2 linked regions of the Danio rerio genome follow. The protein of the gene in region 2 purifies or fractionates together with the protein of the main gene of each other region. This does not show direct contact. Links are inferred from orthologs where the notes say so. Each region holds a gene or a part of one and is shown on either strand. Other genes may lie near its edges. The genes, in order: axin1 and lrp6.

What was found.
Region 1: the proteins of lrp6 (region 2) and axin1 purify together in Homo sapiens (affinity purification with western blotting; 7 studies listed by BioGRID and IntAct, with this or other methods). This does not show direct contact. The link is inferred for Danio rerio from reciprocal best matches to the Homo sapiens genes LRP6 and AXIN1.

The regions. Positions count from the first base shown.
Region 1 is NC_133178.1:42,662,471-42,666,301, reverse strand, and holds part of axin1 (axin-1), read left to right. Parts: intron 1-2,214; coding exon 2,215-2,762; intron 2,763-3,831. UniProt on the Homo sapiens protein: Component of the beta-catenin destruction complex required for regulating CTNNB1 levels through phosphorylation and ubiquitination, and modulating Wnt-signaling.
Region 2 is NC_133179.1:164,032-167,862, reverse strand, and holds part of lrp6 (low-density lipoprotein receptor-related protein 6 precursor), read right to left. Parts: intron 3,513-3,831; coding exon 3,341-3,512; intron 3,199-3,340; coding exon 2,982-3,198; intron 2,275-2,981; coding exon 1,985-2,274; intron 1,245-1,984; coding exon 1,018-1,244; intron 858-1,017; coding exon 673-857; intron 475-672; coding exon 148-474; intron 1-147. UniProt on the Homo sapiens protein: Component of the Wnt-Fzd-LRP5-LRP6 complex that triggers beta-catenin signaling through inducing aggregation of receptor-ligand complexes into ribosome-sized signalosomes.

The sequences.
Region 1 (3,831 bases), on a different chromosome or scaffold from region 2:
GCTTCCTGTATTGAAGCACTTACGATTGTTGAAAAAATGTGGCTAAATACTGATATTTTTAGACACATAGAAATAATAAACTTAATTACTTATTATGTATTGTGTGTACTTAATATATTTTATTTTTACTTTTTTTTTTTTTTTTTTTTGAATCTTGGCCTTTTGCAAAATACATATAAATGAACTGTCTAATCAAACGGAGCAATTATATGGCATGTCAATTGGCTAAATATGACCCATTTCCACTGAGTGCTACAGTTCTGTATGCTTTTATGTTCGTTTCCAATGTCAAAATACTATACCACTTTTGGCTACCCTTACCTTATCATTTTTTATCACATTCTCTAGATTTTTTTTATAGTAGTGCACAGTCCTGTGTTATGTTGTCAGTGTTGTTTGATGCAGCATCTTGGTCCTGGAGGAACTTGTTTCGTTTCACTGTGTGTACTGCACTGTATATTGTTAACAATAACACAGACTTGACTTGAAAAGGGTACCAAAAGATGGAGCGAGACGCGCAACTCAATGCTATTGGTTTATAGAGAAATGTTACTAGCGTGTGTAAGCCAGGAAAATTAAAACAAAGGAAGCATAATTTTTAAATAGCCAAGAAATTAAATCGTAATAATATATACAATTAATAACAAGCCATGGTCAACCCGAGCTCAAACACAGCTTGTTGTTGTCTAGATGAACAGCAGCAAAGCTAAGAGGAAGAGCAGAATCCTGTTGGTGTTTACGAGGCAGTCTAAAAGTGCGAGTGGTTTCAATGGAGAGCTCGTTGCGCGTCTATATTTGAATTAACTAACTTGAGCTCATAATAATAATAATAATAATGCGCGTGAAAGAAGTGAGCGAAGCACAAACATAGCGGTAAATGATTGTTTCAGCATCCTGAAAGATGAACAAACTGCCATGTTTAACTATTATCATCACCTCTTGGACTATTATGAACTCAGAATGACGAAATTTCTTTAACACAATGTTAATGTTAGATGTGCCGGTGAATATACGTTACAGTTGGCTAATTTGCATTTGATCTGCAGCCATAATCAAATCCTGTTCATTGAAAGGTAAGTAATTGGCACCGCGTCACCCAGAAATTGAATAATGAAATGTAAAATAATAACACAGTATAGTAGTCTGTAATGAAGAATCATTTTACTGAATTATTAATACAATGAAGAGCACAGTGGCGCAGTGGGAAGCACAATCGCCTCACAGCAAGAAGGTCGCTTATTTAAGCCCCTGCTGGGTGAGTTGGCATTTCTTTGTGGAGTTTGCATGCTCTCTCCATGTTTGTGTGGGTTTCCTCCGGGTGCTCCGGTTTCCCCCACAAGTCCAAAACATGTGGTATCCGTAGTGTATGTGTGAATGAGTGTGTATGGATGTTTCCCAGTGATAGATTGCAGCTGGAAGGGCATCCTTCTGCGTAAAACATAGGCTGGATAAGTTGGTGGTTCATTCTGCTGTGGTGACCCCAGATTATTAAAAGGTCTATGCCGAAAAGAAAATGAAATAATACATGAATAATACAGTGAAGTTACAAATATTATATGTTTTTGTTCTTGAATGCTTTAAACTATCTTGAAACATCTTTAAAACACATGGAAACGATAAGGTTTCACTCTATTATGGTTATCCTTTGCAGTGACTCTCAAGTATTCTCAATTATTGTACTGATCAACTGTATCTCAGTTCAACATTTCATATCCTGCGATGTGACTATTGCGGACCCACACATTGCGATATCGATGCTGAAACAATACAGTGTGCATCTCTAGTTTAGTGTAGTTTGCTGGTAATATCAAGGTCGGAAAGTGACAGAACTAATCATTAAAATATATGAAATCCCTTGATCCGGTTGCAAATCAGATGTTATTTATTTTCTCATTTTTCTAATTATAATGACCATTAAAAGCATATTTTGAGCATGAAGCGAAGTCTTGCATTGCTCATTTTTAGGGCATTGTGTGTTTTGAATGTAACCATAACAAAGCCCTTTCTTTCAGCAATAGCATAATCTTAAGACTCCTGTGAAAGGATGACATCTGCTGGTTTAACATTGTTACTACACACAGTGATTCTGCATCCCATTGTTTTCTGTAGTCCACTTGGTTCATTACTTTCTCCACAGTCATTATAATTAATATTTGGTTAAAATTTCAAAATAAAGCATTTGTTAAAATCTACCCTCTCACTGTTGTCTTGTAGGAAGAGGAAGGTGATGATGCAGACATCTCCACCGGTCCCTCTCTGGCCAATCACAGGATTCCTCCAGCGGTCCACGTTCAGCATTATGGTGGTCGCTACTCTGAAATGAGCTACAACGGGCTGCAGCTAAGGGACGCGCACGAGGAAAACCCCGAAAGCATCCTGGATGAGCATGTACAGCGGGTCATGAAAACTCCTGGCTGTCAATCTCCAGGCACCGGACGCCATTCTCCGAAGTCCCGCTCGCCAGATGGGCTGCCGGCGGGTAAGATTCCTGGGCTGATGATGCCGCTGTCTGGTGGCCAAGGCAAGCACCAGGCTCGGCAGGGCCCAAAGGGTGAGGCGGCGCACCTGCATCATCACAAACACATCCACCACACACACTATGCTGCGGCGGGAAAGCCCAAAGAGCAGGCGGAGGCAGAGGCTGCAAGGATGCATGGAGGATTCGCCTGGAACACGGAGCAACACCACTATGGACCCAAGTCACGCAACTATGCAGATGGAATGAGCGTCGGTCCCAACACCATGGACCCTATGGGTTACAGGTACATGTCTCAATCACTTATGTCAGCTATAAAGACAAATAATGATCCCAAATCCACTAAAATGCTGATCTGGTGCACAGGATGAATAGAAAGTTTGATAAATGTCTTCGCTGCCACCTTTGATGCAGCTTTTGAAAGATTTGAAAGAGGCCTATCCGCTTGTTAAGTGTGACGTCACGCGAAGCGGCTTCCGGTTCCAATCACTCTATTCAACTGAATAGGGAGACTCATGAAATGGTAATAATAAACGTTTACAAAGCGTTTTAAGGCTTTCGAAAATCACGATCGCAATATATGTCCATGCCTAATATCCGATGGCCAAAAGAGATAATTTTTTTTATAAATTGTTAAATTTTTGGTATTTGTTATGCAGCAAGCCCAAAGATTGTTGTGTACACTATGATTTTATATAAAATTAACTTTATTGTGTGATAGGAATAAAACGTGATCATAAACGAATGATTTCTCCACTCAAATGAATGGCGGCTTGGACCCGGAAACGGTATTACATACGTCACAAACACGTCACCACTTAACAAGCGGATATTAAAAAAATGTCATCACAAAAAGTCAACTCAATATTTTTATGCTGCTTAAACTTATTTAAGTAAGTCAATTACAAATGCAAAGTCTAACTTGCTGTTTTTAGATGAATCAAATAAACTTTTTTAGTTATCTCAACTTACATCAGCAGGGTGTCTGTCGAGTCTTAAAAAGTTAACAAAAATTGATAAATCTATTATAAAAAAATTAAGACCCTTTTAAGGTATAAAAACGTCTTAATCACGGTTTTACGAGGTCTTGAATTTTGTTCTAGTGTTGTCCAAAGGGTTTGACTCATAAAAAGCATAAATTTATTTATTTTACTCCTAATATTAACAAACGCGAGATGGTGTTGTGTCTCCACATATAGCAAAACAGACAGCAAAATATAAGTTTGCGTACTCCTGTTTGGAAAAAGATGAGTTTAAACAGTGGCTGAAGCCTGTTGCTTAAAACAACTACGTAATTTATTCTTTCAAGCTTTGTTTCTTCTGATCTTATCAGAGTTCTGTTGCATGGTTGTGCT
Region 2 (3,831 bases):
CAGAACACACACACAACCCAACCACAGCGAGCCAGAGCCCCGCCCCTCTGCTGCACCAGCAACACTGAGGCCAATGAGTGTGTGACGTCAGTGTTGATGCAGTAGTGGGCGGGGCACACACACACACACACACACACACACACTCACCGCTGCAGGTCTTGTTGTCGGTGTTGAGGGAGTAGTGGGCGGGGCAGCCGCAGGTGAAGCTGCACACAGGTACGGCGAGGCACAGGTGTGAGCAGTGGCCGTTGGTGGCGGCGCAGGCGTTCCAGCCGCTCTGCCGGGACGAGTGGAACACCAGGATGTCCATCACGTAGTCCAGGTGGCCCTGAATGACGGTGCGGTTCTGCCCGCTGGTCTTGTTGGCGCGCTCGATGCTGCGCTGGCTCCAGTCCGTCCAGTAGATGTAGTCCTGATACTGCGTCAGGCCGAACGGGTGCGGGAGATCATCCGCGATCACCTCGCGCTCCAGACCTGCACACACACATACACACACACGCAGACACACGCGCACACACACACACACTCATTATCCAGCGTTGTGTTTATTATAAAGCTGAGATGCTAATATCACACTGAACACAGGGACAGCACACATTCAATGAGTGAGTGTGTGTGTGTGTGTGTGTGTGTGTGTGTGTGTGTGTGTGTGTGTGTGTGCGTGTGTGTTACCCAGCATGTTGGAGGACTCTATGAGTGTGGTGTCGAGGTCAGTCCAGTAGAGCCGTCGCTCAGCGTAATCGATGGTCAGTCCGTTCGCTCGGCCCACGTTCGGCACCAGAGTGATGCGGCCCGACCCGTCCATCGCTGCACGGTCTATCTTGGGCCGCCCGCCCCACTCTGTCCAGTACATGAACCTACGCCACACACACACACACACACACTGATATTAGACCTTTTATTATATATAGTAATAGTAGCACACACACACACACACACACACACACACACATATACACACACACACACACACACACACACACACACACACACACACACACACAGAGTCAGTCGTACCCTTCAGCGGGGTCGAGGGCGAGTGCGCGGGGGCTGTCCAGATCCTTCCACACCAGCACCTGCCGGTGCTGCCCGTCCAGCTTGGCCACCTCGATGCGGTTGGTGCCCGTGTCAGCCCAGTACAGGTTCTTGCCCAGCCAGTCCACCGCCATGCCTTCTGGGTAATCCAGCCCGAACTCCACCACATGCTCCAGAGAGCTGCCGTTCATGAAGGCCCGACTGATCGTCTGAAACACACAACTGCACAATCAACAACACACACACACACACACACACACACACACACAACTAAACCAACACACTGCACAATCAACAACACCACACACACACACACACACACACACACACACACACACAACTAAACCAACACACTGCACAATCAACAACACACACACACACACACACACACACACACAACTAAACCAACACACTGCACAATCAACAACACACACACACACACACACACACACAACTAAACCAACACACTGCACAATCAACAACACACACACACACACACACACGAGCACACACACAAGCACACACACACACACACACACACAACTAAACCAACACACTGCACACACACACGCTGCACTACACAATAAACAACAGAATTCTGTGTGTGTGTGCAGTGTGTTGGTTTAGTTGTGTGTGTGTGTGTGTGTGTGTGCGCTGACCTTCAGTGTGATGTCGGTCCAGTATATGCGGTTGTCGTGTGTGTGTGTGTGTGTGTGTGTGTGCGCTGACCTTCAGTGTGATGTCGGTCCAGTATATGTGGTTGTCGTGTGTGTGTGTGTGTGTGTGTGTGTGTGTGTGTGTGTGTGTGTGTGTGTGTGTGCGCGTGCGCGCGCTGACCTTCAGTGTGATGTCGGTCCAGTATATGTGGTTGTCGTGTGTGTGTGCGTGTGTGTGTGTGTGTGTGTGTGTGTGTGTGTGTGTGTGTGTGTGTGTGTGCGCGTGCGCTGACCTTCAGTGTGATGTCGGTCCAGTATATGCGGTTGTCGGTGATGTCGAAGTCGAGGGCGGACGCCTCCTTGACGCCGGTCAGTGGGATGGCCACGTTGTTGTTGTTGGTCTCCAGGGAGATGCGTCTGATGTCGGTGTGGCGGGAAAACAGCAGGAAGGCCTCGGGGACGATGCAGGTGCTGAGATCCGCCATCAGCTCCAGGCCGATAGGACACGCACACGACACACCCTGAGGCCGGTACAGGCACAGGTGACTGCAGCCGCCATTAGCCCACGCACACGGGTTCACCCCTGCGCACACACACACACACACACACACACACACACAATCAAGTATTTTAAAAATGGTTTATAAAAGGTCTCTGGTTTGAGTCTCGGCTGGGTCAGTTGGTGTTTCTGTGTGGAGTTTGCATGTTCTCCCCGTGTTGGTGTGGGTTTCCTCCGGGTGCTCCGGTTTCCCCCACAGTCCAAACACATGCGCTATAGGGGAATGGCAAACGCCTGGAAGGGCATCCGCTGTGTATAAAATATGCTGGAATAGTTGGCGGTTCATTCCGCTGTGGCGACTGCTGATTCATAAAGGGATATTAGCTGTTATTAGCGGTGTTCTCTGAATGGAGAGGGTTTGTTTGACACATCCAATCATGCTAAATCTGTTGTGTTATCTGACAGAACAGGAGCGCTCTAAAAGTAGCCGGTTCTCCTTTGCTGTGTAATATCCCTCCGCCTGGTGCAGCTGCGACATGTTTTATTATGTATTTAGTATAGTTCCTGTTAATATTTGCCTAGAGAACACATCTTATACATATGAATGAATAACTCTTTAAATGAAATGCTAATGGTCTAATCTGATTCTACTCATTATGCTAAGCTAAGCTAAAACAAGAGACCGGCTGAAGTCATTGAACTCTGGGAGACTCGTGAAATGAGGCTTTTCCAAATACAGGTGGAGTGATGCAGTAATGCGCTGTAGCGGATTAGCATTAGCATTAGCTTACCGAAGGTCTGGTGGACGAACGTGGCCTTGATGCCCATGAGGTCGGGCAGCTGGTCGATGATGACCTCCCGCTCGGTGCTGCGCTTGTGCACGCGCTCGATGCTGCGCCGCTGCCAGTCCGTCCAGTAGATGTAGTCTCCCAGCAGCGTGAAGCCGAACACATGCGGCAGGTTATCCTCCAGCAGAACCCGCCGGCCCGAACCGTCCATCTCCATCACCTGCAGGACAACACACACCTGCTCATCAGCGCCGTGTCAGGACACTTGAAGGAGAGCCATTCTGAGCCTTTATACGAGCTGCAAGACACGTCTCTGCTGTGTGTGTGTGTGTGTGTGTGTGTGTGTGTGTGTGAGATCTGACCTCGATGACGTCGGTCTTGGCGTCCCCCCAGTAGATCTTCCTCTCGCTGTAGTCGAGCGCCAGGCCGTTGGGCCAGCCCAGAGAAGTGTTGACCATCACCATCCGCTGCGACCCGTCCAGAGCCGCCCGCTCGATCTTCGGCACCTCGCCCCAGTCTGTCCAGTACATGTATCTGCGACACACACACACACACACACACACACACACCATCAGCTGCTGAAGACACTGCACTCCTCCTGTCCTCCTGCAGTGTGGTGTTCCTCTGGGCTCTCTCAGCTCACACCAGCTCTGATATTCGCACTGATCTTACAGTTCGGCTGGAATAACAGCAGCGTTTAGTGTAAAACACATGCTGATCCGCTTGTGTACAGAGTACTGCGCTGTGCTGTCGTGACTCGGCTGATTGTCCTGGCTCTGAGCAGAACACTGGTGTCTCATAATACTGAACACACTTTAATAATGCAATGCTGATGCTAGAACAGGAGTGTGCT